Linked DNA regions of Solanum lycopersicum. The protein of the gene in region 1 binds, or shares a complex with, the protein of each later gene. Links are inferred from orthologs where the notes say so. Each region holds a gene or a part of one and is shown on either strand. Other genes may lie near its edges.

Region 1 (4,308 bases):
TTATCCGAGTAATTGGCTGCATGATTACAGAAACCGAATTAGTTTGGCATAAGCAAGGGCAAGTTATGATATTCTGCACAAATATCATTTTAAGGGGCATGTCTCATACATGGCTGTAAGCTCACTGATTTAGACAGTTTTCATGTTTGCATGGTAATTATTTGCAGACATAGTTAAAACTATGATAGACTACGGTGCGCCTTGCTTTAAGGGCAAACAGATAGGTTAAAAAAGTTCAAACTACTTTATAGTTATTCAGATATCACTAAAAACAGTTCTTTGATACCTGTCTGTGACCAATATTCCTTCTGTAGTTCTTTTTCTTCTTATACTTGAAGACGATAACCTTCTTATCTTTCAACTGCATGGAAATGTAATAATGAGCCAACAGATATGTCAAGTAAACAAGATATACTCAGTGGAAACTACAGCAGAGGAAGAATGATGTCTGACCTGCTCTTCAACAACAGCGTGGACTGTTGCATTTGGCACCACTGGTTTTCCAACCCAAGTACTTGTTTTTGTTCCCACAAGTAACACCTTGTTTAGGATAATCTGCAGAAGCAACAAGTATAGATGCTTCAACAATGATCCTCATTGTGGAAATTTTGAAATAAGAGTATTGCCAATATGGCAAGAAAACCTTGACATACACATATAACCCTTATATCAAGTGTTAGCTTCCGTGGAAAATAACTGGTGAAGACAATGTATTAAAGATAATAGAAATAGGACAAGCAAATGTCACTATTGGTTGAAATTGATGCCTTTTGACATAATTGAGAAATTGCTGCAAGCAAGTTCTTTTTGATTGGACACCACAATGTTGATATGAGATAGCGAGACAAGGAAAAAGAAAAACAACTCACGTAACTAAAGCCAAAGCCACAGAGAGGTAACCAGATTTTGGGAAATCAATTGTAAATTAAGACCAAAAATGCTCACTTTGTCATTGACATTTGCACCTTTAAGCCTCTGGGTGTAGATATACCGCCCAGGAAAAACAATATATTGCCGAGATCCAACCTATGAAAGCGAAAGAGCAAAAATGAACAAACAGCTTAACGTATTAAAGACAAGCCCCATAGAGTTATATTAGGGTAGTGTCACATTCATCTGAAAAAAAGAAAAAAGAACAAAATAAAGCACAAAATTTGACACCTAGAGGACTTGAAAATTGTTAGCAGCAGGAATAATGATCAGATTGAAATAGCAGCTATAATCTCCTCGCAAGAGTGAGTATTTTCCACATGGAAAAGAAAAAATATTCATCAAATAAGTAGTAAACATGAATGTTTTCTCCGGTTAAATACAATAGTTCACAATTCACATTAAATAAAAGATGAAAGTGTAGAATATGGCAACCTCAAAATCAAATTTCAACAATTACTAGACTTTTGCTTAAATGTTTGCATGGACTTGTAGATATGTATTCCCTCTGACAACTGTATAACACCTAAAGTTAGAACTAAATGATAGTTATCAGTTATTTATTAGTTATATTACTTCTAATCTGCCATATGAACCCCTTTGCAACTTAACTAGAGGAAACGCCTACCGAAAATAGATGGCCCACTTGTAAAACGAAATTAAACTAAAACCAAAGAGAACATAGACTGAGATTTTTGAAATTGGATGGTGTCCAGAACACAGGTAAGGATATACCAAGTACTAAATCTTCGTCATGTCTTCATAATAATTATAGTTTTCTGTTAACATCAGCCAACTCTACTGGAGAATACTAAGCATATAAAAAGTTCAGTTCAGCTTATTTAGCACGGACTATTTTAACATTTCCAATAGCCACCACCACTGCCAAGTCAATATGACACAAACATATAGACATGTGTATTGTTCCTTTAAGACACCCTAAAACAGAATGCTAAACCTAAGCATCACAGAATGGCATTGACGTATAAATAACAGAACGAAAGAATTTCATTGTAACACTCCCTATTTTCACCACATACACCATAGGAAGCAGTAATGTATCAACAGTACTAGCAAACACGAAATATGAACTAAGTGAGTGAGGTGTGGTGGAACATTCTTCATGAAAACAAATTTTTGGAACTTCTAATCCGTTTGACATAAAGGAAGTTTTCGTTCTAGTGGCAAAGGTTAATTCGAGAAATTGCTTCAATAATAGGTCTGAGTAATTTTGAATTCCCCTTATTAAAATTCCGACTGCTTTTGTGATATCAAAGGTTGAGCACATGACAATCTTGAACCAAAGTTGTGATCTCTATACAACAAAGTAACATTCCCTTAGAGGGAATAGATCAATTTCCTATTTCCTTCGAGAAAAAAATTCAAGGTAACAGACAACTGAAACATTTTCCGCTGAATTTTCAAATTTTCATTTGGGACCTCATAATTTTTTCAATAAAAATCTAAATTGTACCCTCACATTGATTTCGAAATTGAAAACAAACAGATATGTCTACACAAATTTAAACATGAATGGAAGTGAGTCGTCACCATAACAACAGCAAAGATTTCTTCCCGTTTTGGTTCCAAGCTAGTGGCTTCCACAACAGGCTCTTCTTGGTCAGCTTCAACTTCAGCTACTGGAGCTTCAGATTCTGAGTATTTGGGTACAAAAGAGGATAAAGAATTGGGCTTGGAGAAACGGAGATTGAGAGAGGAAAATGAGTGAGATAGAAAAGTAACATTGGAATTTGCTTTGGGAACAGAAAGGGTGTTAAGAAAAGTTTGGTTCTTGGAAAGTGCTGTTGAGGGGGAAGATGTAGAACACAGGGAAAGGGTTGCCATTGTTAGAGAGTGAGAGGTTTTTTTTGGGTATTCTCTGTCTCTCTCTCAATTTTATCTGTTGAAGCCTATCCTATCTGCAGTGGTAGCCAAATGACTATTTTACCCCGAAATCCTTTATTTATTTTTTTAAAAATAATTGTATTAGAAATAGTATAAATTTACATATTCTCGTAACATAATACTCCCTTCGTTTCAAAAAGAACGTCTCTATTTCCTTTTTTAGTCTGTTTCAAAACAAAAAACTCATTTCCTTTTTTCATAATATTTTAACTTGAACTTTCCACGTGACATGTTTAAGACCACAAGATTAAAGGATATTTTGGTACATTTGACATAACTTTAATTTAGAATCACAAGATTAAAAAATTTTTTTTTCTTCTTAAATTCTGTTTCAAGGCAAGCTAGACCATCCTTTTTGAAATGGAGAGATTAACAAATATTCTAAATTATATAATAGGTCATTTACTCTTGAAGCCATCATTGTTTAATTTTGACTCGAGGTTAGTTATGTAAAGCCTCCCATCTACTTTTTGCAATTACATATACATTATATTTAATTTTCATAGTGCTAGTACTATTTTTGATATGTTTTATTTAATTTGAGGCTCTTAAAAAATAATTATTCTATCTTTAAAACGTAGAAGTAAGATTACAAATACGTGGTAAGAAGAGTAAAATAAGAACAAAAGTAATGCCATTTGTTATGTTAAAAATCAAGCCCGCAAAATTGGAAGGAAAAAAAAATAAATCAAAAAAATTACACAAATAAAAGAAGACTGAAATTTATTTTAGTGTTTAATATATGACAAAATGATCTTAAAAGGTACTCAATTTCCAGTAACATCAAATTAATATAGACATAAAGAAGGTTTTTACAACACTTCTCAGGTACAAACAACTGTAATATTTTAGAATTTATGAACTAGAGGAAAAACCCTCAAATTATATAAGATAAAGTAGCAAAAGTAGGAGTAACGTTTGTTTACATCCCACCCTCTCCAGATCTCGCTCGTGGAAAGATACTGGGCATGCTGTTGCTGAGAGTAGCAACAACTGAAATTTTGCTACTATAGCACTAAATCTATCTACCATCACAAAATAATAGAGCACCAATATATGCTGGTAATAGCCCAACATTGTCTTGGCAAACACAGCTCTACTTGACCCCTCTCGTCCGGTTGAAAGCCTCCTTGAACTCCTCTGGTTATTGGTTGGTCCAACGTATTCTATCAGCTTGGTCTGGTAAACAATCATGCTAGAATTAGAGAGTTAGATACCAAACAATCTAAATATAATGTTGGTATAATACATTTCCTAATAATATGCATTTTTTGATATATTATAGAAGTAGAAACCTTCTATTCTTTTTTCTCACTGTCACTTGCTCCAAGTGCATCAGCCAAGTTAAAATTCAAATTGCCTCTCATTGTTCTAGCAGCAAATCCTGTATTTCCCTTCTTCATCATTGTTGCAAATTCGCCGTAATCTATACGTCCATCCTGCCAAACAGAAGAATATATTAGCTTGACTTAA
Region 2 (4,236 bases), on another chromosome or scaffold:
TCATCGATAAATGGACAAGAACTCGAATCATAAAGCACATAAAGATCATTGTATTCGACCCATTAACCATCAAACTCTAGTACGTAATAGTACTGGCAAACAGAATTTTTGAGTAAATGTACTTTAATATAAAATCTTATGTTACTGAGTTAAAAAGGTGAAGGTGACAACAGAATCATAATATATCAATGAGAGAAGATTCAAAATTAGCAAAATCGAACTAGAATTTACAGACCAGTGGATCTCCTAGGAAGCAGCAGCTACTGCTTCTGTTGTTTTCCCCTTCTCTTTGACTGCTTTCTTCCAGTTCTCTGCACTATCGATGATTTCCCCAGTTTTAATGAGGTACCGGACTCTTTTTCCATTGTCTAAAGTTTTGTGACCAACCCGACTGGCTACCTTCTGCTCTTTTGAATAAAGCATCACGTTTGAGCTGTGAATAGGAGCTTCAATCTGAAACAATAACAACAACTACGTCTCAATCCAAACAACTTGGGGAAGTTCAATCTAAAATCTTAACACAAAGTTTTACTTTCTTGTTAGGGCAAAGATGAATTCGATGCTAGCCACGACGAAATGAAATCTCAAGATAACAATTTTTAGGCAAGATAGAGAAGAAAGAAATCGAGATAAAACCTTGACTATCTGGCCTGGTTCCTCCTCACTCCGACTCTTCACATGCTTGGTTTTCAAGTTCACCTCTTTTACTACTATTTTGCTGTTGTGCTTGATGATCTCGGTAATCTCTCCAATTTTACCTTTGTCATGGCCGGAGATTACCTTTACAGTATCACCCAGCCTTACATGCATTTTGTGTAGTACTGGAAGGCTGTTTGGCTTACATTCTTTACGCTCCCATCGCTTAAGCTGCAAAATAGACATAAAAAGAAGCTCTTATTCAATGATAAAGCTAATTCTAATCACAATTCTCATTAACTGTTGTTTCAGCTAAAAGAATATCATACCCATAAAAATTAGTACCAAAGGTTTAGCAATACAAACATTTGGTGGCCATTTTTAAAAGCTGTTGACAAGTTAGTTCGAGCACTTCCTTCATTACATCATAAGTTATAAAAGAAATGCATGACCACATTAACAGCAACCCTATAAAAGTAGTTGCCGGAAATGTCTATCTCGGACAATATACTAAAGGACCAAAATGGATCAAGATACCAACCTTTGCTGTAATCAAACATGGACCTTCTGCTGATTTAACCTGCACGGCATTATATGGAGATTGTCATTAAAGTGGCAAAAGATTATCCAGTTTTACAGTTGACACAATAAAAAGTGACAAACTGCGTAAGGCGTGATATACATCCAAAAAGTGTTAACCGAATAACAAGCAAGTGCATTTTCTGGAGACAGATCTTATTCCATATTTGCTTCCAATAACTTCTGATTATACAGGTAACTATAATATGAGAACGATTTATTATCGAGGAACACAGAGGCATATGTATAATATGGGTTCAGCAGCACCCAGTAGCTTTAACTCAGACCCTATATATGTATTAAAAAATTGATAAATATGTCCAAATATTAAAATTTCGAACCTTAAGTCAAATACAGGGTTCATCCTATGTTAGAACTTGGAAGACATCAATCACAACAGAGGGGGTAAGTTTAAGTTAACCAATTAGCATATTCTTAATATACTTGACTTTTTGAAGAACTTTTGAGGAACTACTGTATCAAATTGTAGATGTCTTTATATATAAAATTATTCTCTTGCAGCTAGAAATACACTGTGTTTGGTATGTAGTTCCAACTTTCCTGTGTTACGAAAATATTTTCTTTAGGAAAACAAGTTCAAGTTCAAAATAAAGAAAATGACTTCCGTAGTGGAAGTAAGAAAAACAAGATGGATAAGTAGCATTTCAAGTTATCATCACCCAATCCCTCCAACTCCCACTTCTTGACCATATCACGTCCGTCCATCCCCGAATCCCCACTCCCCATCCCATCTCGCCTCCATAGTATTTTGTTGGATATATAACATATAAATGCTCTTGGAATAATATTATCTAGCTTAGTTACCATATAAACACTAGAAAATTAGTAAGTTCCACATTTGTTTTCTAGGTAAACATTTTCCTTCGTACCAAACACGCAGTCAAAACTTATAATAGCGAAAAAACATATGATATGAGAAAGGACTCAGGTAGCAATGGTGACCAAGCAGAGAAAAAGTTCACAATATATTGTAATCAAATAATATAAAATTAATTTATAATCAATAGTACAATGGAAATGGATACCTTTGTTCCTATGATCCCTAATACATAGAAATCAAATTATTCAAACAAAGACCTTTCACAAAGACAATTGAAATTGAGATAAACAGATAGGATATAGCCTAGTGGTCAATGCAGTGGTGAACAACTACGATTTATTGGTTCAAATCACAATACACTAGTTTATTTCTTCGCATTTATGTAAGACTGGATGGAGAAAGTTACTTGCAACACAATTCAATTCTGGCTAGAGGTAGCAGGTATTCTACGTAATTAGTCGAGTTGTGAGCAAGCTGGACCGAATGATACAGTTGTAGAAACAAAACAATTAACATTTGAGATAGTTCAGTTTGAAAACCAGATAGTTGAAGTTATGAGAAAGCATACCAGAGGAAGGGAGAGAGGAGGAGAGAAGCGTTGGCCGAAGAAGGAGGTGGAGGAGATGGAGAGACCAGTAAAGGAGCTCTGCAGAGCCGCCATTGTTCAAAACCTTCTGCAAAATCCTTTTGTTGAAGGAAGAAACAACACTGAGCTGAGTATTTGGATAGGATAATAAAAACCAGAACCTTCGTCTTCTTCTCTCTCTATCCCTGGACACCCGATCCAACTTAATTGGACCTTCAACGGGTCGAGTACGGCCCAATTATAAAGTCCCTTTTCAGCTATTTCGGGATTGTGGATTAATTACGAAAATCTCACCTTTTAGTTTAATTATTATCATTATCCCTTATAAGTTTTACAAATTTCTAAAATTTCACAATTTTCATGCATCACATCAATTTCTATCGCGAATCATATTATTGTATCCCGCGCATCAGATTAGTGTATCATGTATAAAAATGTATCTCGCACATTAGATTAATGTATCTCGAGCATCATATAGTGTATCATGTATAAAATGTACCTCGCGCACCAGATTAGTATATCTCGCGCATCAGATTAGTGTATCATGTACCTCGCGCATCAGATTAGTGTATCATGTATAAAATGTACCTCGCGCATCAGATTAGTGTATCATATATAAAATGTACCTCACGCATCAGATTAGTGTATCTCATACATTAAATTATTGCATCTCGCGCATTAGATTAATGTATCAACGCTTGTATTATTGTATCCGTTTTGAAGATTTTTTGTAATTATAAATTTGTAAAGTATCAATTTGCCCTAATTTAAGAAGGGAAAAATGATCAAGTTTTAATGTTTTATAGGTTGACAAAACATATAAAAGACGAATTGAACAAATAAATATATTGAAAAAAAGTATCGGGGGATTAAAAAATAAAAAAAGCTTGGTTCTTTTTTAATAAAATTAGATTGAATAGGATACTAATGTAGAAGAAGTGGAAAAGCCTGATCTGGGATTTTCCCCGTTTTCTACCATTCATTAACCTTCCACGCAAATTTACAAAAACTTAGAACAAAATTGGGAACAAAGGCTATCATACACTCAGACTATAACATACCCCTAAGTATCCCAAACGAACTCACCAAGACAAAAGTGTGTTTTTGTAAATAAGAAACCTAACAACCTGACCAATTTTACAAGATGAAACAAAAAAATAAACAAATGGAAGAACTGAGTTAAACTTCATACGAGTCAGCTGTGCTATCTATAGATTCAACACGTCGATGTCCAGAGATTGGATTCCGATGATCTACTTGTTCAACATTGATGGTAATCTCCTCTGCTGTTGCAGATAAAGATCGCTTCTGGCGTTTTCTTTCGTGTCTAGACTTGAGTATCCTTGACAGAACCTGCACAGTGTCCCTCATGGAAGGCCGTTTCTTGGCAGCACGATTCACACATTTGTATGCAAGTGCTGCTACATCATTAAGTTCTTGCAGATCATACTTCCCATCAAGACGGGAATCTGCGATTTCCTCCCATCCGCCTTTTCCATCTGTAGTCATGGCTGCCTACAATCATCAATCCTATGGAGCTTAGTTTCTATATGACTGAATAGGCTTCAGAAACATATGCACAATAAAAGAGGTT

Evidence for each region. The genes of interacting proteins can lie anywhere in the genome.
Region 2: large ribosomal subunit protein bL21c (region 1) and large ribosomal subunit protein uL24c share a complex: the UniProt entries of both Arabidopsis thaliana proteins name them as parts of the 50S ribosomal subunit. The link is inferred for Solanum lycopersicum from reciprocal best matches to the Arabidopsis thaliana genes RPL21C and RPL24.

What each region holds. Positions count from the first base shown.
Region 1 is NC_090805.1:43,261,481-43,265,788, reverse strand, and holds the start of large ribosomal subunit protein bL21c, read right to left. Parts: upstream 2,899-4,308; 5' UTR 2,776-2,898; coding exon 2,482-2,775; intron 1,027-2,481; coding exon 946-1,026; intron 556-945; coding exon 454-555; intron 362-453; coding exon 287-361; intron 17-286; coding exon 1-16. Other genes in the region: calcium-dependent protein kinase 11, read right to left, coding at 4,134-4,274. UniProt on the Arabidopsis thaliana protein: This protein binds to 23S ribosomal RNA in the presence of protein L20.
Region 2 is NC_090806.1:68,736,326-68,740,561, reverse strand, and holds large ribosomal subunit protein uL24c, read right to left. Parts: upstream 2,848-4,236; 5' UTR 2,718-2,847; coding exon 2,625-2,717; intron 1,217-2,624; coding exon 1,178-1,216; intron 868-1,177; coding exon 637-867; intron 454-636; coding exon 247-453; 3' UTR 106-246; downstream 1-105. Other genes in the region: calcium/calmodulin-regulated receptor-like kinase, read right to left, coding at 3,822-4,157. UniProt on the Arabidopsis thaliana protein: One of two assembly initiator proteins, it binds directly to the 5'-end of the 23S rRNA, where it nucleates assembly of the 50S subunit. Required for optimal plastid performance in terms of photosynthesis and growth.